3 linked regions of the Arabidopsis thaliana genome follow. The protein of the gene in region 1 purifies or fractionates together with the protein of each later gene. This does not show direct contact. Each region holds a gene or a part of one and is shown in the gene's direction. Other genes may lie near its edges. The genes, in order: AT1G71350, EMB2770 and AT5G22320.

The links.
Region 2: the proteins of AT1G71350 (region 1) and EMB2770 fractionate together in Arabidopsis thaliana (co-fractionation; one large-scale study listed by BioGRID). This does not show direct contact.
Region 3: the proteins of AT1G71350 (region 1) and AT5G22320 fractionate together in Arabidopsis thaliana (co-fractionation; one large-scale study listed by BioGRID). This does not show direct contact.

Annotation. Positions count from the first base shown.
Region 1 is NC_003070.9:26,886,929-26,894,092, reverse strand, and holds AT1G71350 (eukaryotic translation initiation factor SUI1 family protein), read left to right. Parts: upstream 1-2,808; 5' UTR 2,809-2,883; coding exon 2,884-3,018; intron 3,019-3,164; coding exon 3,165-3,467; intron 3,468-3,550; coding exon 3,551-3,645; intron 3,646-3,731; coding exon 3,732-4,112; intron 4,113-4,314; coding exon 4,315-4,423; intron 4,424-4,703; coding exon 4,704-5,352; intron 5,353-5,446; coding exon 5,447-5,568; 3' UTR 5,569-5,725; downstream 5,726-7,164. Other genes in the region: AT1G71360 (Galactose-binding protein), read left to right, coding at 1-89, 252-1,879; GDPD4 (PLC-like phosphodiesterases superfamily protein), read left to right, coding at 6,772-7,038, 7,125-7,164.
Region 2 is NC_003075.7:1,514,657-1,523,701, reverse strand, and holds EMB2770 (pre-mRNA splicing factor-like protein), read left to right. Parts: upstream 1-3,138; 5' UTR 3,139-3,201; coding exon 3,202-6,291; 3' UTR 6,292-6,489; exon of another isoform or gene 6,490-6,577; 3' UTR 6,578-7,672; downstream 7,673-9,045. UniProt on the Arabidopsis thaliana protein: Pre-mRNA splicing factor required for splicing and for the turnover of unstable transcripts. May be a U5 snRNP-associated protein involved in the formation of U4/U6-U5 tri-snRNP. Involved in responses to abiotic stresses.
Region 3 is NC_003076.8:7,386,270-7,393,109, reverse strand, and holds AT5G22320 (Leucine-rich repeat (LRR) family protein), read left to right. Parts: upstream 1-2,496; 5' UTR 2,497-2,683; coding exon 2,684-2,782; intron 2,783-2,862; coding exon 2,863-2,934; intron 2,935-3,040; coding exon 3,041-3,133; intron 3,134-3,280; coding exon 3,281-3,362; intron 3,363-3,443; coding exon 3,444-3,500; intron 3,501-3,592; coding exon 3,593-3,657; intron 3,658-3,730; coding exon 3,731-3,826; intron 3,827-3,930; coding exon 3,931-4,017; intron 4,018-4,131; coding exon 4,132-4,212; intron 4,213-4,308; coding exon 4,309-4,935; 3' UTR 4,936-5,106; downstream 5,107-6,840. Other genes in the region: RIN1 (P-loop containing nucleoside triphosphate hydrolases superfamily protein), read left to right, coding at 11-142, 234-383, 590-745, 903-1,037, 1,123-1,188, 1,285-1,391, 1,483-1,582, 1,661-1,752 and 2 more.

The DNA of each region.
Region 1 (7,164 bases):
CTACAAAGTTTCATTGTCTTTGGTTTTTCTCATATGGGGGCTTGTCTTCTTATCTACATTGTGGATCAGTCATGTTGATGGTGACAAAGGTAACTTTTTGAGTTCCTTATTTGGACAGAATGCAAAACAGTTATTAGAATATGGTTAGAGAACTGAACTTAAGTAATATACGCTCTTAGAGATATGACAATCATGAAGATGTATAGACCATATCTTAAGTGTATCTAAGGCTTACTCTTGGGCATTTGCAGGTAGATCTTTAGTGGATTCAGTTGAAAAAGGTGAACCGGATGATGAAAGGGCAGATGAGACAGCTGAGTCTGTTGATGCAACATCACTAGAGTCTACCTCTGTTCATTCTAATCCTGGATTGAGTTCGGATGTTGATATAGCTGCAGCCGGAGAAAGTAAAGGCTCAGAAACCATCTTGAAGCAATTAGAAGTCGATAACACAATCGTTATCGTAGGAAATGTTACAGAAAGCAAAGACAACGTGCCTATGAAGCAAAGTGAGATAAATAATAACACAGTTCCAGGGAATGATACAGAGACCACTGGTTCAAAGCTTGATCAGCTATCTCGTGCTGTTCCGCTTGGCCTTGATGAGTTCAAGAGCAGAGCGTCCAATTCTAGAGACAAATCTTTGTCAGGCCAAGTAACTGGCGTTATTCATAGGATGGAGCCTGGTGGGAAAGAGTACAATTATGCAGCTGCTTCAAAAGGTGCAAAGGTCTTATCTTCTAACAAGGAAGCAAAAGGAGCTTCAAGCATCATATGCCGGGACAAAGACAAGTATCTCCGAAACCCGTGTTCTACTGAAGGGAAGTTCGTTGTCATAGAACTTTCAGAAGAAACGTTGGTGAACACAATCAAGATTGCAAATTTCGAGCATTACTCTTCCAATCTGAAGGATTTTGAGATTTTGGGGACCTTGGTTTACCCAACTGATACGTGGGTTCATCTAGGGAATTTCACGGCTTTAAACATGAAGCACGAGCAGAACTTTACATTTGCAGATCCCAAATGGGTGAGATATCTAAAGCTAAACTTGCTAAGCCATTACGGTTCAGAATTCTACTGCACCTTGAGTTTACTAGAAGTCTATGGAGTGGACGCTGTGGAGCGAATGCTGGAGGATTTGATATCTATCCAAGACAAGAACATATTGAAACTCCAAGAAGGAGACACTGAGCAGAAAGAGAAGAAGACAATGCAAGCAAAAGAGTCCTTCGAAAGCGATGAAGACAAGAGTAAACAGAAGGAGAAGGAACAAGAAGCCTCACCAGAGAATGCGGTTGTGAAAGATGAAGTATCACTTGAGAAAAGAAAGCTGCCAGATCCGGTGGAAGAGATAAAACATCAACCAGGAAGCAGAATGCCGGGGGACACTGTCTTGAAGATACTGATGCAGAAGATAAGGTCGCTGGACGTGAGCTTATCAGTTCTTGAGAGTTACTTGGAGGAACGGAGCTTGAAATACGGGATGATATTCAAGGAGATGGACCTGGAGGCGAGCAAGAGAGAGAAGGAGGTGGAGACTATGAGACTAGAGGTAGAAGGAATGAAGGAGAGGGAAGAGAATACGAAGAAAGAGGCGATGGAGATGAGAAAGTGGCGGATGAGAGTGGAGACAGAGCTTGAGAAGGCTGAGAATGAGAAAGAGAAAGTGAAGGAGAGGTTAGAGCAAGTGTTGGAAAGACTGGAGTGGATGGAGAAGAAAGGTGTGGTTGTGTTCACAATCTGTGTCGGGTTTGGGACTATAGCAGTTGTAGCCGTGGTTTTTGGTATGGGGATAGTTCGAGCAGAGAAGCAAGGTGGCTTGGCTTGGCTTCTGTTATTGATAAGCTCCACATTCGTTATGTTCATTTTGTCACTTTGATGAGAGAAGAGTTCTCAGTTTTGGTCTTTCTTTTTGTTTTCTAGTTTTTTTCTTACTGTAGAGTTAGCTGAGTCTTCTTTATACCCAATAAAACTATAGAAGTTACCTAGATAAGTTATGATGTGCCTATGAGGTTTCAAATACAAGAGTTTTGTCCGGTTCAATGGAAAAAACTCTTATCAAATCAAAGCTTATACGTAGAAAGAGTTTTCATTGCAGAAAGTTGATTTACAAACAAAACTATTATTCACAGAAAACATTTTCTTATGACCAAAATAATTATAAACATTTTCTTTCAATAATTAACCCTAGCTTCGTCATTGCCACAGAGCAAAGATAGTTTTAAAATTCGAATCCAATCAACCTCTTATACCAATCTCTCACATGTCATCTCCTACTCTTCATAGTTCATCCAAAGTGGGGTTATTTGTCAACGTAACTTCAGCATAAAACTGAGCTTTATACTAGAGAGAAATAAAGTTAGCTATAATCATTTATAAACTGAAGATTGATGGAGGTTTATTAATGGTTAATAAACCTTTCCAAAAATAGGCGTATGCCGCTAAGAACAGAGAAGACACGGTATTCTTTAGTAAAAGGCGAAAGAACAGTTCGCTTTGTCTTCACTGCACAGCTCCGTGACTCTTGAAGGCAAGCTCTCGATCTTTATTTATACTAAAGTTTACTCACTGTTCTCAAGAAATGAGCCGATGTGGGATAGTACAATCAATCAAATTAATTCATGGGTTATTAATAGCAGTATATGGGCCATATCTTGTTTATTTTTAAGCCCATCCCAAAGCCTGGAGGTTTCATCATCTTACAATTCTAGACTGGTTTTGGTGAACCGGTTTGATGAAATTAGAAATTACAATGCAAGAGACACGTGGCAGGCTTAGAAAAATAACCGAAAGCAAAAACAAAAAGGTTTAAGAGAGAGACGACACTAGTCTGGTTTTGGTTCGAGTCCCGCAGTGGTAAAGGGACGACTACAAGCGAACATAATGTTTAAGAAGGCGGTGGAGGCTAAGTCTCACCAGCGTCTCTCCGGCGCTGACCGGAAAAAACTCCGTCGCACCGTCCGAAATAGGCTTCCCCTTCTTACCGATGAACTCCTCGACGCAATTCTTCCTCCCAAGGTTTGATTTCTCTTTTCCCTCAATTTTTGGCATCGTTGTTTTCTCCATAGATTACTAGGTCTTTCTTCTTGTTGTGTAATCTGATTGATTCTAGATTAGATTGCATCGAGTATTGGCTTACTTCTGGCATTGATTGTTTTGTCTAGGTCGAGATTACACTTTCCAAGTTTCAGAATCGAGTTATTGTTTATAGTATTGAAGGTGGATGTCCCATGTTTTTCGATATCGATGGAAGAGGAACTGAGATTTTCCCCACAGTTTTTGCTCTGTGGGAGGCTCCTGAAATGTTACCTTCCTTTATGTTGAAAGGAGGTGAGGTTTCACGTTATATTATAGGCGGTGCAGATTTGATGTTCCCAGGTATTTTGATCCCTCCCCAAGGCTATCCTTCTTTCTCTGCTGGAGAAATATGGGCTGTCAAAGTTCCTGGAAATCTAGCACCTATTGCGGTAAGCTTTTTATGTCTTGTTAACTGATGAATCTTCTTAATGAATGTAAAGTTTGCGTATTGAGTTACATGATGTTTATGAAGGTTGGGTGTACCACAATGAGTAGTGAAGAAGCTCGTAAAGCAGGTTTACGTGGGAAGGCTTTAAGGATAACTCATTATTACCGTGACTTCCTATGGTACATGAGATGCTGGCAAAAGTTTTTTTATATTTTACATCTGTGGAGGAACTCTGTCTCTTACATACTGAATTTGTGTTTCTTAGGGAATCAGCTGAGGGGCATTATGTTCCAAATGCGGGGTTTATGGAGGATGTGGTCATGGAGGACCCATCGTACCTTGCTCCTGGTTCAGGTGAAGATATTTTAGACACTTCTGCAAGCACCGGAAATGAAGAAGATGAATCTGCTCTGGAAACAGCTTCAACATCGGCTGCGGATGCTAAGAATGATGCTGAAGTACATGTCGTTGGGAGCATGAATGAGCTATACTTGGTAGATGATGTATGTGCTACTGAAACTAATACCGACAAGCAGATTACTCTCTCCCCTGAGGAGGTAGATACCCTTCTTGACCAATGTCTTTTGCAAGCATTGCATACAACACTAAAGGAGAAAGACCTTCCCATCCCAGGAAGCACTCTATGGTAAGAACCGCATTCAGATACTTGACTTACTTTGAAAGCCACCTATATTCTGGTATTTGACTATGATTAGGTTGTTTTATTACGCTCTGAAGCTCTATTCTGTGTTACTCTTGACTTTGTCAATAACAAGCAAGACACCTTAAACCATTTTCTTTCTCCTTTCCACGTTTGACTGACATATATTTTTCTGTGAGTGGTGCAGGGCAAATCATGTATTACCTTGTAGGCCTTCTGGTCTCACACTTGACATTAAGAAGTCTTCCCATAAAAAGTTGTCAAAGTGGCTGCAATCTAAAGCGTCTGGTGGAATGGTCAGTTTTCATACGAATTTCCCTTGTCTTATGATACTTTTTTTGGCTTGATTTTATATTTTAGTAGATGTTGTTCGTAGATGTTTAACTGCAAAACCCAACTGGTTTATCAATATAGGAAACTATTAGTATCAAGTGTTGTAAGCTGTATCTCCTTAAAAGTATGTATGTAACACATTGGTATACATTTACCCTGATATACTCATAATTGCTAGTAGATTTACTCTGGTGTCTTGACTGGCAACTGCACTCTGTCACAATCTTTGAAATATATGCGCAGATATCTGTTAAGGAAGACAAGCATAAGAAGGAGATAGTATTGATTTCAGTCAACCGCAGCCACCCAGATTACAAATCCTTCAAGCCAGAGAAAAAGAAAGCGGAAGTCTCCGAGTCTCCTGGAGAGCGCTCCACGGCGCAAGCTCAGTCAGAGAAAGGGCTTGAAATTATAGAGGTCTATAAATCAAGCATACACAATAGTGCAATATTTGCATCAGTTGGGGAAGACAAAGGAAATCTGTACACAGCTTCTGAAGCCACTGACGTTGTGTTCAAATACATTGAGAAGGAAAATCTAGTAAAGCCAACAAACAAATCAATGGTGGTGTTGGATCCGATACTATGTGATGCATTGTTCAAAGGAGCTATCAAAAAGGGATCGGCATATCCGTCAGAGATCCACAAAAAGGATGTTGGGTCGACATTTGTAGGTAGAATGCAGCCTAATCACGTAGTGATGAGAGGAGGCGGTGAACCCGTGGTTCGTAAAGGAGCTGTAAAGCCGGTTCAGATAATGACAGAACGAAGACAAGGTAACAAAAAAGTGACCAAGGTCACAGGGATGGAGACGTTCTTGATAGACCCAGACTCGTTTGGATCAGAACTGCAGAAGAAGTTTGCTTGCAGTACTTCAGTTGGAGAACTTCCAGGTACGTTTAAAATCTATCCTTTTTGTTTTGTTCAGCTGTGTAAGTGAATTAACTATTTGAGAGATGATTGATTGTTTTGTGTGTTTGCTTTCAGGTAAGAAAGGGTACGAGGTTCTGATTCAAGGAGGTGTGATTGATAACCTTGCGAGATATATGGTGGAACACTATGGAGTTCCAAAGAGATACATCGAAGTTCTTGATAAGACTAGAAAGTGAATGGTTTTTTCTATTTCATTTTTTTTTTGTGTGTTTTAATCTTCTAATTTTATTTGATACGTACACTCTGTGACTCTAGAGATGTGGAACAAATGAGAATAAAATTGTTTTGTTATTAGTTTTTTTTTTAATATAACAAAAAAATTAAAGAAAATAATTTATAGTTTGATGGACTTTCTCTCTTTTGTGCAGTTGAGAAAATAAAAGGACTTTCTCTCTCTTCTCTCTCTAGATCTTTTAGAGAGAGGAAGTTTCTGATGCTCAAACTTGGCTCCGACAATAGCCAGCTTTTTTAGTGGTGTTGGTTGGCTTCCTTCTGGCGTCGTTAGCTCCTTTAGCAACGTCGGCTAGCTTTTCTCCGACATCGGTGGTTTCTTTAGCACCGTTGGTCGGCTTCGTTCTTCAAATTTAGTTTTTGCCTTTCAACCTTGTTCGATTCTATTTTGCTTCGGTTTTAATTGGTTTTGATTTCTCTTTCTCTTCATTTCGATCTAAATTTGTAATTTTTCGATCCTCCCTTCTTTAAGGGGCTTAATTTGTTCTTCAAGCTTATTGAGTTTTCATTTTAAAAGATCAAATTTTTAGTTACGGATTGAAGTTTAATTTAGTGTCTTTTGTTTGATTTTGATGAAATTAGAGCTGTTGTTTGTCTTTCTTGTTGCCGATGCTTGTTGAATCGTTTGGGTTTATGTTGTTTTTCCTTTAAATGGCAGAAGTCGAAGTCGATAGTTTGTGAGCTATTTCTTTCTTGAAGGTTTTAAATTTTACAGTCATTGTCACAGAAGATTTGTCAATTGTCTCATCGGATTTGTAGCTGCTTCCGATTTGGCGTTTACAGCAATTCCGGTGAACTTAAGTTTTTTGTGGTTATGATTCTCCACCTGCGACATTCTGCAACTCATCATTTTCTGTTTCCACGTGTCCTCTTTACCGTGTCTCTAGTGCCATGTGGGCTTTGACTTATTAGCACATTAGCTTTCTCTTCTTCAGAAGGTGGTCTTTGGGCTTTTGTCCGTTTATGGCCTGTTATATGGCTTTGTAAAATATGGCTTGTTAAAAGGCTTTGTAATATAAATAATAAAACAGTTGTGACAAAAAAAAAAAAATATATAGTTTGATGGTGATTGGTGAACTTCTTTTTTTTCCAAGATTGCAGTAAACGTCGTCTTTAGCTCCAAAAACAACCTTTGTCTTGTTCAGCTAATGGCGATTTTTGAATGGCGGCACAGAAGACGGCCATTCGACGGCGGAGGAACTCGTCGCCGTCGTTTCTTCAGCCCATTGTATTCGAGAAATTTCAAGAGAACGATTCTCTTCGCTGTGATTTTCTTAGCTATCTTCCCTCCTCTCTACTTCCATTTCAAGCTCCGACGAATTCGTCAGATTGTCGCGCAAAAGTGCGATTGGCTTCACCATCCTCCACTTGTCTGTGCTCACGGCGGCGATTCCACCCTCGCTTTCCCAAACACTGTACGTACACTCTCGATCTCTTCTTCTTCACACTCTTGCTACTAACCTTTTTAAACCTTAATCTCTTGGACTCTTCTCAATCGTAGATGGACGCTTACAGTTTCGCTATACGTTCTCGAGTTGATT
Region 2 (9,045 bases), on another chromosome or scaffold:
CCTCTTTTTAGCATAGTATAACCGCTGATGTACACCTACCAGCTTGATAACTCTTTTTCGTGGTTTCTGTGTACTCGTTTCTGTTTGTACAGATACTTCTTGTTCAATTTCAGATGCTTTAGAAGGTTTTCGGAGTGGCTAGAGATCTGTTATCTGTATGAACAGCTACTTGGTATCAGCTTCGTCATTTTATCAACACATTCTTAATATACAATACTTCTTTTTCATGCATTAAGCCCCTTACAATGTCGAGTAAACAAAGCATGTGTCCGCTAATATTGTCTTCGAGCTTGGTATTTTTGTATTCTGATACGGTATTTGGGGACGACATCTTTTGTTGACTCGATATAAGAAGGGGGTTTGTGGAAGAAATTGTAGTATTATATATCAAGAATGGCTCTCCAAACCATGTTGCTGGCCACTTAGCTATTATCGAAGCGTTTGTTGCAACATCAATATCATATCTTCAGCTATTCTGTTTTAGAGAGGTTGAGACTGAATCTATATGATCTGAAGGACGGAGATACTGCTATGCATTTGGCCTTGACAGGTCGCCATGTGGAGATAGCTGCATGTCTGGTAAATGTGAACCAATGTGCTTCATTTCTTGCGAGTAAAGTTGGAATATCTCCCTTGTATTTGGCAGTGGAAGCTGGCAATGTCCCACTCGTGGTATCAAAGTTGAGAACTACAAGCAATGAAGGAAGAAAGACGAACTTTGATTTTGTACACGTGGCTTTGAAGGCCAAGAGTAGAAGTTTGTTTTGCTTCTTACCAATTAGTAGCTCTGTTTAGTTTGTTTGACTAGTTTGGGACAGAAGACTAAATATTTGCATGTGGGCTAATTTATACAGATCCAAGTCTTGGGGATGAGTGATGTGAAGAAGGGATAAATTCTCTTTCAATTGGAGCATCCATAGGGTTTTATAAAGGAGTATGTAACCTGTTAGTACGATTAACGAAGAGTGTTTACGTGTGAAACAATGATGGACCCTTTCCACTCATTTGGCAGCAACGAATGGCCATATCAGAATTGTCAAAGAGACTCTAAAACATTGTCCAGATTCAAAACACCTGCTTAACAAGCTTGGTTAGAACGTTCTTTGCATTGCAACAAATAGTGGGAAATGTAAGTGTTTGATTCCGTTGTTGTTATATATGCAATTCTGTTTCATTTTATTTCCGCACTTTGGGTTGAATTGTCCTGTTTCTCTATTTAAAGAAAAAAGTGCTTCATTTTGATGCTTTGTCGATCAAACTGAGGTTTGATTCCCAAGAGACACATACAGATTGTATCATAATTAGCTAGGTCCAGTTTGATCACTGTGATTGTAGTTGACAGATAGTCAAAATGACCTCTTGTTGTTTTGCTGGTGATCATTATTTCAGTACCTAAGTTTTTTTTACCCAACCCTCACTTCAACACATCTTTTGCTGCCACCATTTCCTTTCGCTTTCGGCCGCTGGTCACAACTCACAACAGCAACAATGACTAAAAGAATCTGCACTAAGTCAATTTCCAGCTTCTTGTTTTATTAAGGAAAATCTCGTGCCATGTAAATTGTCAGACTTTTGGTTTGTTTCCAGCTCATACCTGGTTTTGAGGTAGTCTATGTTCTTGGCTTGCCATTTCTTTTTAATCTTGAGCTATGTTCTTAGAGGCGGCTAAGCAGTTCAGGACTTGGTTGTTGGTTAACTTATTGTAGCAATACTTGTTCTTATTTGGGCTTTGCTGGGTGATCCAGAACTCGGCCACAAAGCCTTTCAGTTTGCCTTTCCATTTCTGTCTTTGGCTCTAAACTCCATGTAGGTCGCATTCTATTTTGGCGTGCTCGCTACAACAAGTGATATACTAGTTATTTTTTTTCGTTCTTCACTAAATACTAGATTTTAACCCGCGGTACACCGCGGAAACAATTTATTTTTTAAAGTTAGTATACATAAAAGTTTGCAAATTGTATCTATCTATAAATATTTTTATTTTATAGTTTACAATTGTTATTAAGTAACGTCCTGCCAAACCCGTCCCGCCAACCCGTCCCATAAAAAAAACATTTATTTTATTAATGTTAATCTTATTTATGATATGTTTATGAATTATTGTCTAAATATTTTGTAATTTTGTAATAATTAAATGCTATCAAATATCTCTGCGATTTGACGATTATAATTAAATTGTTATAGTCATGGAGAAAAACAATATCAAAAATGATAATTTTGTAGTAAATAAATGATATTAAATATTTTGAAAGTTTTATTTTAGTAACTAATCGTGTAGTTAATGTGGAGAGATTTAGGGAAGATTGTTAAATGTCAAATATTTAATTTGAAGATTTTTTTTCTAATTATCAAAAACAAACATTAAAATCCAGTGGCAGCTATTGTAAATAAGTCCCAACTATAAGATTTATTTCACAAAATTGCTGCAAAAATGTATATATAGATATTCAGCGCGTATTTTATTTTGTGCTCTATTTTCTTCTTGCCTATTACACTGTCCCATATATTCCTGGCTTTGGTCGTTGTCACTGGGCAACGGATATCCTCTCCGAATGCTATTATGGTTTGTTGATGAAGAAGATGCTGAAACATATCACACCTCTGGCTCTGGTCCGTGTGATTGAAACAAAAAAGACGAAAGGATGTCTTCTTATCTATTTGATTCAGTTGTTGTTTTCATAACTAGTAATTTATTACGTTGGTTTGGAAAGAGTCAGTAAGCGGGGATAGCTCAGTTGGGAGAGCGTCAGACTGAAGATCTCGATCCACGCTCACCGCATTACGTTGTCTTTTCGTTTTTATTTTCTTTCTATATATCTTTTACTCATTGATTGTGTTACATGAAGCGGGGATAGCTCAGTTGGGAGAGCGTCAGACTGAAGATCTGAAGGTCGCGTGTTCGATCCACGCTCACCGCAATATTTAGTCATTTAATTTTTTTCCCAAAGCCATGCAAACGACGTCGTTTAAAACCAAAACACACAGAGATAGTCATATACGGTGTCGCTTTATGAAAAGCTCGAATTATACTAACGGTGGTTTTACAATATGAAGTTCAAAAAGCCCATTAAAAAGCCCACTACATATCCCACCGCCTTTACCTCTGAACCGACTATTTTTTTTCCACCCTTTATATTCGTTGTAACAGCAGAGATTTTTATAGTTTGGTTTCTTTGACCGGAGAATCTCGATTAGGTTACGATGGTGTTTCTCTCGATTCCAAACGGGAAGACTTTATCGATCGACGTGAACCCTAATTCAACCACCATCTCCGCCTTCGAACAATTGGCCCACCAACGTAGTGATGTTCCACAATCTTTCCTTCGTTACTCTCTCCGTATGCGAAACCCTAGCCGCGTGTTTGTAGATTCAAAGGATTCCGATTCGATCTTATTGTCCGATCTCGGTGTTTCTCGTTTCTCTACTGTGATTATCCATGTCCTGCTTTTGGGTGGTATGCAAGCGGCTCCGCCGAAGCCTCGTCTTGATTTCCTCAATTCTAAGCCTCCGTCAAATTATGTAGCGGGTTTGGGTCGTGGTGCTACTGGGTTTACTACTCGATCTGATATTGGTCCTGCTCGTGCTGCTCCGGATCTTCCTGATCGGTCTGCTTTGGCTACAGCGGCTGCTCCAGGAGTAGGTCGTGGAGCAGGGAAGCCAAGTGAAGCGGAAGCGGAGGACGATGAAGAAGCTGAGGAGAAAAGGTACGATGAGAATCAGACGTTTGATGAGTTTGAAGGGAATGATGTTGGTTTGTTCGCTAATGCTGAGTACGATGAGGATGATAAAGAGGCTGATGCCATCTGGGAGTCTATTGATCAGAGGATGGATTCGAGGAGGAAAGATCGGAGAGAAGCGAAGCTGAAGGAAGAAATCGAGAAATACCGAGCCTCGAACCCTAAGATTACTGAGCAGTTTGCGGATTTGAAGAGGAAATTACACACTTTGTCTGCGGATGAGTGGGATAGTATTCCTGAGATTGGGGATTACTCGCTGAGGAACAAGAAGAAGAAGTTTGAGAGCTTTGTGCCTATTCCTGATACGCTTTTGGAGAAGGCGAAGAAAGAAAAGGAGCTTGTCATGGCCTTAGACCCAAAGAGCAGAGCCGCTGGTGGGTCGGAGACACCATGGGGGCAGACGCCGGTGACAGACTTGACTGCTGTCGGTGAGGGAAGAGGTACGGTGTTGTCTCTGAAGCTTGATAACCTATCAGATTCAGTTTCGGGGCAAACTGTAGTGGATCCTAAAGGCTACTTAACTGACCTGAAGAGTATGAAAAGAACCACTGATGAAGAGATATACGATCGCAATAGAGCTAGATTGTTATACAAGAGTCTGACCCAGTCGAATCCAAAGAATCCAAATGGCTGGATTGCTGCTGCTAGAGTGGAGGAGGTGGATGGGAAGATTAAAGCAGCTAGGTTTCAGATTCAGAGGGGCTGCGAAGAGTGCCCGAAAAATGAGGATGTTTGGCTTGAAGCTTGTAGGTTAGCTAATCCAGAAGATGCCAAGGGGGTTATTGCGAAGGGAGTTAAGCTGATACCCAATTCAGTGAAGCTATGGTTGGAGGCTGCAAAGCTGGAGCATGATGTGGAGAACAAGAGTAGGGTGTTGAGAAAGGGACTGGAACATATTCCAGACTCTGTAAGACTATGGAAGGCTGTTGTTGAGTTGGCTAATGAGGAGGATGCAAGGATTTTGCTTCACAGGGCTGTGGAGTGCTGCCCTTTGCATCTGGAGCTATGGGTGGCACTTGCGAGGCTCGAAACATATGCTGAATCAAAGAAGGTGTTGAACAAAGCGAGAGAGAAGCTCCCAAAGGAGCCTGCAATTTGGATCACCGCTGCTAAGTTAGAAGAAGCTAATGGGAAGCTAGATGAAGCTAATGATAACACGGCTATGGTGGGAAAGATTATTGATAGGGGTATAAAGACTCTCCAGAGAGAAGGGGTTGTTATTGACCGAGAAAATTGGATGAGTGAGGCTGAGGCATGTGAGAGAGTTGGATCTGTCGCTACATGCCAGGCCATTATTAAGAACACAATAGGTATTGGAGTGGAAGAAGAGGATAGAAAGAGAACTTGGGTTGCTGATGCAGATGAGTGCAAGAAGAGGGGTTCCATTGAGACCGCAAGAGCAATATACGCCCATGCTCTTAGTGTATTCTTGACCAAGAAAAGTATCTGGCTTAAAGCGGCGCAGCTTGAGAAGAGCCATGGGAGTCGGGAGTCCCTTGATGCCTTGTTGCGTAAGGCTGTAACATATGTCCCGCAAGCTGAGGTTCTCTGGCTCATGGGTGCCAAAGAGAAGTGGCTCGCTGGAGATGTTCCAGCAGCCCGTGCTATTCTACAAGAGGCTTATGCTGCAATTCCCAACTCTGAGGAAATCTGGCTTGCTGCTTTCAAGCTTGAGTTTGAGAACAAGGAGCCGGAGAGGGCAAGAATGCTGCTTGCAAAAGCAAGGGAAAGAGGAGGGACTGAAAGGGTCTGGATGAAATCAGCCATTGTTGAGAGAGAACTTGGCAACGTAGAGGAGGAGAGGAGATTGCTTAATGAAGGTTTGAAGCAATTCCCAACATTCTTCAAGCTTTGGTTAATGCTTGGGCAGCTCGAGGAACGGTTCAAGCATCTAGAACAGGCCAGGAAAGCTTATGACACTGGTTTGAAGCACTGTCCCCACTGCATACCACTGTGGCTCTCACTCGCTGATCTTGAAGAGAAAGTGAATGGGCTAAACAAAGCTCGGGCTATTCTCACCACGGCCAGGAAGAAGAATCCTGGGGGGGCTGAGCTATGGTTAGCTGCTATTCGCGCTGAACTGAGGCATGACAACAAGAGAGAAGCAGAGCACTTGATGTCAAAGGCTCTGCAAGACTGTCCCAAGAGTGGTATCCTCTGGGCTGCGGACATTGAGATGGCGCCACGTCCTCGACGGAAAACAAAGAGTATTGATGCTATGAAGAAGTGTGATCGCGACCCTCATGTCACCATAGCTGTTGCCAAGCTCTTTTGGCAAGACAAGAAGGTGGAGAAAGCCAGAGCATGGTTTGAACGTGCTGTTACCGTTGGCCCAGATATTGGCGATTTCTGGGCGTTGTTCTACAAATTTGAACTTCAACATGGCTCTGATGAGGACAGGAAGGAAGTTGTGGCGAAGTGTGTAGCTTGTGAGCCGAAGCATGGCGAGAAATGGCAAGCCATCTCCAAAGCGGTTGAAAATGCTCACCAGCCTATTGAAGTTATCTTGAAGAGAGTTGTGAATGCGTTGAGCAAGGAAGAGAATTCTGCTTGAGAGTATCAATTTTCTTATGTTTTTCATGATCAAGCTCTGCTCATAGCACATTACACCTTAGTTCTTGTTTTCTCTTTGCAGGCTCAACTTTTAACCATTCATGTTTTTCTTCAGTAGCGAGACCTGATATTGATTTACAGGAGTGTTTCACCAGATACATGTAGAATTCTCAGTTTACTAAATGCTTCAGTTTTCTTTGTGAGTCTCTGTGTGCTGCAGTGTTCAGCTATTAAACTTCTTTTGTTATTTGTATAACTGATCATTTGTTGTTCGTTTCATGCCTTAGCCTTCATCCTTAGGGAGCTTTTGTCTGCCTGGTGACTAAGATTGGTGCGTGGGCAAGTCATGAAACCCACACTCCCAACGCTTCTTTAGACAGTGTAAGAAAACTAACCCCTGACACAGTTTTTAGAGTTCTTTGTCCATTAACACTAGCTGTGATAGTAATTCTTAGAAGAAGATATTGGTAACCTTTTTAGCCTTAATACTAATAAACCTCTTGCCTGTTAAAATCAACCAACTAGTTTATTTGCCTTCTTTTGGAGAGCTGATTCTCAAACAAAGGCGACTTGTTTTCCTATCTTCAGTAGACCCTTGACTTTGAGAACCTTTTGGTCGCTCTCATCCTGTGGTAACACTGCAATTTGTTTTATTGTTGGGTAAAACTAGTTTGCAAGTACAAAGGTTGATTTGTTCTAGTCTTTTGCCGAGTACCTCTGGTGAGGCATGAGAAACAACAGGATATATTGTGTGGACAGTCCATTAGTTTCGATTCAACCGAAGATAAGAGAGAACTGAAAGTGAGACCAGTTTCCTCGTGATGGCCGTCTGTGAAACTCCTGCATTTCCAGTATTTGGTCAGCTTTCAAGTGTATAATAATTGGCGTTGAGGAAGTTCCCTCAGAACATTGTGACTGCCATAATCAGGATCAACTCCGATCAGAACAGACCGCACTAAAAAAAAAAAAAAAGAGGACCAAATCAAAGACAATCTGTTTGGTTTACCAAAAGCGGACCACAATAGGCTGTATTTAGCAATTAGCATATCACAACTAATCACCTCATCTATATCTAGTTTCTAAAGACTAGTTATACCATTATCCAAATTTATTATGTATTGTTCTTTTGGAGAACACATGGCGACAACGTGTCCAAAATATGGACCCAAAAGTGCTACCAAAAAACATAACAAAAGGCAAAATAAAATAAAAATGCAATATTAGGTTTGCAATCATCATCATATGATGATGGGGACAAGAACATGTTCGTTAACATTTTTTCCAAAAGATTAACACAAATAGATAACGTTATCGTTGGTTAAATGTATAATGCGAATGTGGAGCTAAATAGCAAAATATAAAGTAAGTGGATATATACGAACCGCATATTTGACTTTGGTACCATCAAATGTCCGTGCCTAGTTGGTTGTTGAACATTTTAATTACTTTATCAAAATATCTTATATGTTAGACTTTTGTGCTCTTGTTATTTCTGTGGTATGGTTAGAGGTTTATAGTTGATGTTAATTAGATAAGACATCATCTAAACCATCTTCTTAAACAAATCATATCTCCTCGTGAGTGTTACATAAAACTGTGATCGGTAGCCGAACACGATAATGTATTTAATTGGCCCAACAATCCAATTCATTTATGATGAAGAATAAAAAGAAATTCAAGTGTAGTTGGTTTAACGTTTTTTTTTTTTAATATAAGATGTTGTTTTGGTTCTGTTTAATGTTCTTGAGTCGTAAAATATAGGTAAGTTTTGTTACGGAATCTGTGCAAAATGCACATGTGATCATTTCCTCTAAGTCAGTACTTACTCTTTACTGCTAACAGATTAATTACATTGTATATAAAATTAATTAGATATGAAGTAAGGGCGGGCAAAAAAACCGGAACCGATGAACCGAACCAAAATCGATCTGAAAAATTTGATCTGATTCGAACCCAAACCCGAAGAATTATTCTATTGAATCCTATATTTTTTTACCCGAAAAACCGAATCCGAACCCGAAAATATCCGAATATTTTAATCGAAAATCTGAATTTTATTCGATACCCAAAATTTTACCAAAAAATCTGGCTATTTACCCGAAAATTCGGGTATAGGTTCCAAAAGAGGCTCCAAAAATCTATACATGAACCCATGCGAACCCGATTGGATCCGAACCGAAACCGAACCGATATTTTAGATTTACCCTATTAACTCCTAAACTTCTCTACTTGAAAGACGCATACCCGATCGGATTTTACCCGAACCCGACCCGCTTTACCCGAATGCCCGCCCCCTAATATGAAGTGTAAAAATAAAGCAAAAAAACTGGTCGACGTCAAATAAACAACGGAAAATCCAGTCCTCAGCACATCGACAACGTGAATTCAGGTCGAGAAGAAACCCAAAAACATCACTTTCTTAGATTGTTTCTGTTTGCAAGTAATGATAATAGTAATATATTTTTGGTCTGAAATTAATGTACACTATTTATTACGCGAAAATGAAATGTGCCGACCACTTAAATAATTTGTTAGGAAATGATTCATTCCATTTAAGTAAACAAAAAAGAGTTAGAAGGTGTCTAGAAAAATCGGTGGAGGGACCAAACACTGAACACTCCATCAAGTCAATTTACAAATCTAATCTAAGGTCCACGTTCTTTGATTTTTCTCCGTCACATGTTTGACATTTTTGTCTTCAGAGGTCCCACTTTTCTTTTCCATTTTATAACAAGTCTTTTCAATTTTGTTAATC
Region 3 (6,840 bases), on another chromosome or scaffold:
TTTCTTGCAGGTTCCATTCTGTCCAATGGTTGGATCTGAGGTTTACTCATCAGAGGTTAAGAAAACAGAGGTTCTCATGGAGAATTTTAGACGTGCCATTGGTCTACGTATCAAGGAAACCAAAGAAGTCTATGAAGGGGAGGTGTGTTGCTATTTGCGGTTTCTTTTGCTGTGTTCTTATGCAATAGCATGTCTCGCTAATTGGTTTTTGACATGTTGTCCTTGTGTTCTAGGTCACCGAGCTGTCACCAGAAGAAACTGAAAGCCTCACTGGAGGTTATGGTAAAAGCATCAGCCATGTTGTAATTACACTCAAGACAGTCAAAGGAACCAAACATCTGAAATTGGATCCCACTATCTATGATGCCTTGATTAAGGAAAAGGTCAGTTCTTGGCATGCGATGCTATGCTTTGGATGTGGTATTTTCCCCTAAGTTTTTGCTTTTCAGTTTGTTCCAAAACCTGCTTTTCTTTTCACCTTTTTGGTTTTCTAACGATGTCATTCTGTGGGGACAATTGTGTATGAATTTGCTGATTACTTTGTCATTCTGATTGGTTTCTTTTTATATTTTTGCTGTTTGCCTCTCAGGTAGCTGTAGGAGATGTAATCTATATCGAAGCAAACAGTGGAGCTGTCAAACGGGTAGGTAGAAGTGATGCTTTTGCCACTGAATTTGATCTGGAAGCAGAAGAATATGTTCCACTTCCCAAAGGAGAGGTCCACAAAAAGAAAGAGATAGTGCAGGTTTACCTTCTTTGACCTCTCCCTTCTGTGTAGAGTAATTATTTTCTTTGTTGATTTATTATCTGTTATGTATTAGTTTGTATGTGTATTAACCTTAGTTCCTAAGTTTATTAAGACTACTTGTTACTCAACTAGACCATATACTTTTGACTGATAGGATGTCACACTCCAAGATCTGGATGCAGCAAATGCTCGACCTCAAGGTGGCCAGGATATACTTTCTTTGATGGGCCAAATGATGAAACCGCGGAAGACTGAGATCACTGATAAGCTTCGGCAAGAAATTAACAAGGTGATTTTCGCTAGTACATGGGTGATTTTTTTAAGCATCTTACTTTCTCTTTTGCAAGGTCTAATATTTTTATATGCCATTGTAGGTTGTGAACCGATATATAGATGAAGGTGTGGCAGAGCTTGTTCCAGGAGTTCTATTTATTGATGAGGTATTTTCCCAAATAAAGTTTTTTTTCATTCCACTATTGATCTTGCTCAGGACTCAGGAGCAGTAAGAATACCTTTGTTTAATTATAAAACCTCAGGTTCATATGCTTGATATGGAGTGCTTCTCATACTTGAACCGTGCTCTTGAGAGCTCATTATCTCCGATAGTGATATTTGCAACAAATAGAGGTGTTTGCAACGTAAGGTGAGAAGAGCGCTAGACCTTGATAGACATTTTCCTTTGGAAATCTTGTGAGTTTTTGTTAACTTGGTACTGTGATTTACTTTATTTGCAGAGGGACTGATATGCCCAGCCCCCATGGAGTCCCTATTGATCTATTAGATCGATTGGTTATCATCCGGACTCAAATCTATGATCCCTCTGAAATGATCCAGGTTACTCAATTGTCATTTAGCTTTTGGATTTCAATTACTACGAACAACATTCTAATAGATTTATCATTTTGTTCACAGATTATAGCCATTCGTGCGCAAGTTGAAGAATTAACCGTGGATGAAGAATGCTTGGTTCTACTTGGGGAGATTGGGCAAAGAACTTCACTAAGGTACTGTCATCATTGCTTTTCTAAGCAAAATTTCTGTTCGTGAATCTAAATACTAAAACCTTTTTTGTGCTTTCACTCTCAGGCACGCTGTGCAGCTTCTGTCTCCTGCCAGCATTGTAGCGAAAATGAATGGCCGTGACAATATTTGCAAGGTAGATTTACTTGTGAAATCTTAGAACAATAAAACAAATGTAAAATATGTGGATGTTATGTTATTAATCCTTCATCTTAAATTTTGACAGGCTGATATAGAGGAAGTAACATCACTCTACTTGGATGCTAAATCTTCAGCAAAGCTTTTGCATGAGCAACAAGAAAAATACATCTCATGAGAAGAACACTAATCGCACATTTTGTTGAAACATCTCATAATTTTTCTGTCGTTTTATTTTGTAATGTCGGAATATGGAGAATGTCTAATGGGATTACAATTTGGTTTCTCTGAATTCATTTATTTATGTGCTATTTTTTTGTTTGTGGTGCTAACTAATGAAAACTGAAATATGGTTTCACGTGTATACACATACATGGTCGTGAGATTCAAACTTTTGGTTTCATATTGAGTTCCCTTGTTACATTACAATACACTTATTCAAGATCAAACTGTTTGTGGAACATAACATTGTGTAATTGTCTATTTGGTTACTGTTAAAAGTTGATGTTGCGCCAAAAAGAAAGAAAAAAAACTCTATTATCAGAACAGAGTCAGCAGAGTCGGAGATTATAAAACTTGAGGATCAAAGTGGGAGGAGTACCATAAGAGGGTGTCCCTGATCCGTACAATAATAACAAGGTCAAATGTATAAACAATAGAAAACTGTGGGGTTTTTGGGTAAAGACTTATCACGGTTGGGAACAGAGACAATCTTTTGAATAAGGTGAAACCAAAAGACTAGGGTTTTGTGTGACAAGGAAGAAGACGAAGACGGCGATGAATTCGTTAACCGTTGAACAAGTATTGAAAGAGAAGAAGACCAATGACCCAGATTCCGTCAAGGAACTTAATCTCGGCCATAAAGCTCTCACCGACGTGAGTATTGTTTCTGTTCTGAAACTCTGTTCCCAAGTAGAAATTGATACGAAACCCTAATTGTTTAATTGTATATTTAGGTGTCTTGTTTGAGCAAGTTCAAAAACTTGGAAAAGCTTGATCTTCGTTTCAACAATCTAACAGATCTTCAGGTTGATTGATACATAAATCTCATTTTATAAGCATAAATAGCATCCAAAGTTTTGATTTTTAAGTTGCTAGAGCTTATTATATGTTGATGTGTTAATTGGTTTTTAGGGACTCAAGTCTTGTGTGAACTTGAAATGGCTTTCAGTTGTGGAAAACAAATTGCAAAGCTTAAATGGAATTGAAGCACTCACTAAGCTTACGGTTAGTTCCACTGATATCACTGAGCTTGTTTCTTTGAGATTTGTATCACTTACCAATAGTGAGGTTCTCCAGGATTAAGCTTTGTTTTGACAGAAAACGAGTTAATATGTGTGCTTTATTTGACTGTGTGATGTTGTTTTCTATCAGGTGCTTAATGCTGGAAAGAATAAGCTCAAATCCATGAATGAGATCTCTTCTCTTGTCAATTTACGGGCCTTGATCTTGAATGGTAAGTTGTCAACGGTTTTATGTCTTTGCATCCACAAGCTACTGTTTGATTACTTACTCGTTATTGTTTCACTTGTTGTAGACAATGAAATCTCCTCCATTTGCAAGCTTGATTTACTCAAAGACTTGAACAGTCTCGGTATGTTCTTTTACATCAAAATCAACATGTTACTGTTTAGATGTTACACCTAATTTCATTCTACTTAAATGTGTATGGATTCATTCATGCAGTTCTTTCTAGGAACCCAATCAGTGAAATAGGTGACTCACTTTCAAAGTTGAAAAACCTCTCCAAAGTAAGCTCTTGTTTTCCTCCCGTTTCGGAATCACAACTAAACTGATCCTTGTCTAATCCCATCTCGGTTTCAGATTTCTTTGTCTGACTGCAGAATAAAAGCTATTGGCTCTTCTCTCAAGTCATGCTCTGATTTGAAAGAGCTGCGGCTCGCGAACAATGAAATCAAGGTGATCTTTCTTACATTTATGCAATCTACAGAACAAACCTGCCTCTTCTCACAATCTTTTGTTTATATTGCTAATCGTTATTTCATTTACGCTTAACTGTTCAGGCTCTCCCAGCAGAACTAGCAGTCAACAAAAGACTACTCAATTTGGATGTGGGAAACAATGTGATTACGCAACTCTCTGGTTTAGAGGTATAGTCTAATTCATATAGGTGAAAGCAAATTTGTTAGCCTTCCCTAGCTTGTGGCAAGTTTTTGTGGTGATCGTGTAATAAACCATCAAATTTGTGTGCTCCCAAATGATAGGTTTTGGGTACACTATCTTGCTTGCGAAATCTGAATATTCGAGGAAACCCGATTTCTGATAACGATAAGTCAGCTAAGAAGGTAAAACAACTTTTTCTACTTCTTTTTTCCATTGTGATTAGTGTAACTGCGTGAAGAAATCGTATAAGAATGAGGAAAATTGTTTTGATGTCGCAGGTGAGAACGTTGCTTCTCCCTTCAGTGAATGTATTCAACGCTCAACCCTTAGAAAAAAGCTCAAGGAATGCAAAGCATATTCGGCTTGATACCGATGATGAAACCTTTGATGCCTATCACAATAAATCAGCAGAAGAGGAACAATCTAAAGAAGATCGAAAACGCAAGAAGAGCTCTAAGAGAAATAAGTCAGAAGAAGAAGAAGTCAACAATGAGGATCACAAAAGCAAGAAGAAGAAGTCTAAGAGCAACACAAATGTAGATCAAGTTGAAACAAAAAAGAAAGAAGAACATAAAGAGAAGACAATCCCAAGTAACAATGATGATGATGATGATGCTGAGAAGAAACAGAAAAGGGCTACTCCAAAGGAGGAACTCGATGCTATAGATGATGCTGAAACCTCTTTCGCAGAAATCTTTTCCCGGGAAAATGTGCCAAAGGGTTCTGAAGACGGTATTGAGAAGAAGAAGAAAAGCAGCGTCCAAGAGACAGGTTTAGTAAAAGTGATAGATACTAAAGCTAACAAGAAGAAGAAGAAGAGTGAAAAGAAGCAAAGCAAGAGTGTAGTGATTGATCTTCCCATGGAGGTTGAGATCGGGTTAGGAGGAGAGTCTAAGTGGGAGTAAACTGCAACAGAGGGAGTGTTTTACTCTTTAAAAGAAGGGACAGTTATGTCTGTAACATCCAACGGCTAGGGAGTATTTTGATATGGTTAAAGAACATAGGAGAGGAAGAAAGTGGTTTCGATCTTCTTTATAAATTGTTTTCTGCACTGTTGAGAAGCTATATCTAATTTTATAAAATGTTTGTGTCATTGAAACCAAAACAAAAAAAGGAGAATAGGTCCCACCGAGACTTGAACTCGGGTTACTGGATTCAGAGTCCAATGTCCTGACCACTAGACCATGGGACCATTCTATTCACGCTTTAATATTTGTTATTTTTATTGTGTTAGTTTCTAGTGTGTAATAAAAAAGAGAAATAAAATGATACAAGCTAAATGCTAGGAAAAATGTGGAAACACTAGTTTGGACAATGAGAAGTTTGAATTTTGATTTCAGAAAAGAAAACTAAATTAATTTTAGTGCAGACTATTCCGATTAGGTGTAAATGTGGTCTACATTTGTGATATATTATGAAGACGTAGAGAAGAGTTAGAAATTTTTGTCATCTTCTTTTGTTTCCTATGTTTGTTTTGTAATGCTAATGTTAAAACCGATTTGCTAGTTCAAAATGTCCGTATCTACCCGTATTGAATGTATGTAATTACCCATAGTATGTATTGTATATTGTAAACGATATTTTTTTAGTTTAGCTTATTTGACAAAAAAGAACGTCGTTTTTAAAGTAGAGTTTAGATTGCTGCTGCAAGAGTAGTTAGTATATTGAATAAAAGTATAGTGATATGACATTTTTGTCAAATTCTCCATGTGATATGTGAGTAGTAGTCAAAGACTCAAAGGAATAAAAGAGAAACAGACTAGAACTCTTTTTAATCTGAACCGTTCATCTATGTTGTATTTTTCTTCTATCATCGTGGCACTTCTCTAGTCTTCACACATTTTAAAATTCTTTTTTACTCGTATTAATTTATTTTTAAATTAGTAATATGTTAAATTATTTGTAATGGAGTTAAAAGAATCTGGAGGATGGATTTGATTTGACTGGCAGAGAAGGCATCTATCTCTTTGGGATGTTCCATAAGTATTTACTATTATTTGTACTCAGCATGTGCCTGTCTTTCATAATTCATATGCCAATCACAAAACTTGTGTTCAAATTAGTATAGAGACAATCATTGGTTTTGAGTTGTGAATTATGATTGGATAGTAGTAATCGTTAAGGCATCTAGGAAATTTTATGTCTGATTTACATTCAAAAAATCCTATATGTTTTAGAGCAGCAATATTTTTTTTTATGAATCCAAAAATCTAAAACCATGTATTCATTGTGTAACTATGATTGTTTAATGAGAGATTTTTAGCAATGATTGAACATCTACTATATATATTAGTGTCAAAATTGTCAAAGTTTCGATGTGCGACAATTCCAATAACTTATAACAACTGTCTGTAAAATTTTAGTGTATTGATCTTAATACCTACCTCTCTAGACAAAAGCCATAAGTTTATAAACACAATCCTAAAACATAAAATGAAGAACTATTCAATCCTAAACGAAAATGATTTATAATAATTATATTTCTGTTTGTGTTTTTGGATTGTGTATAACAAATATTCGCATTTAAACAAAAATACTATATATTATCTTTCTAAACACTATTCAATCATAATTGAACAATCTGCATGATATAAATCGTCAAAATCAATAAAAACTAATCAATTTTGCATTAAAAATAAAAAAACATCATCTAATTCAATACAATTTTTTTTCCTAAAACATAAGAAAAAAGGAGTATACTTTCTTGGCTCATGTATCTTGCCTTGTCTATGCATATTCATTTATTTCAAAATATGTCACCCATATTCATGTTTGTTGAAAACAATGCTACTTTATAGTAGTACGTAGTA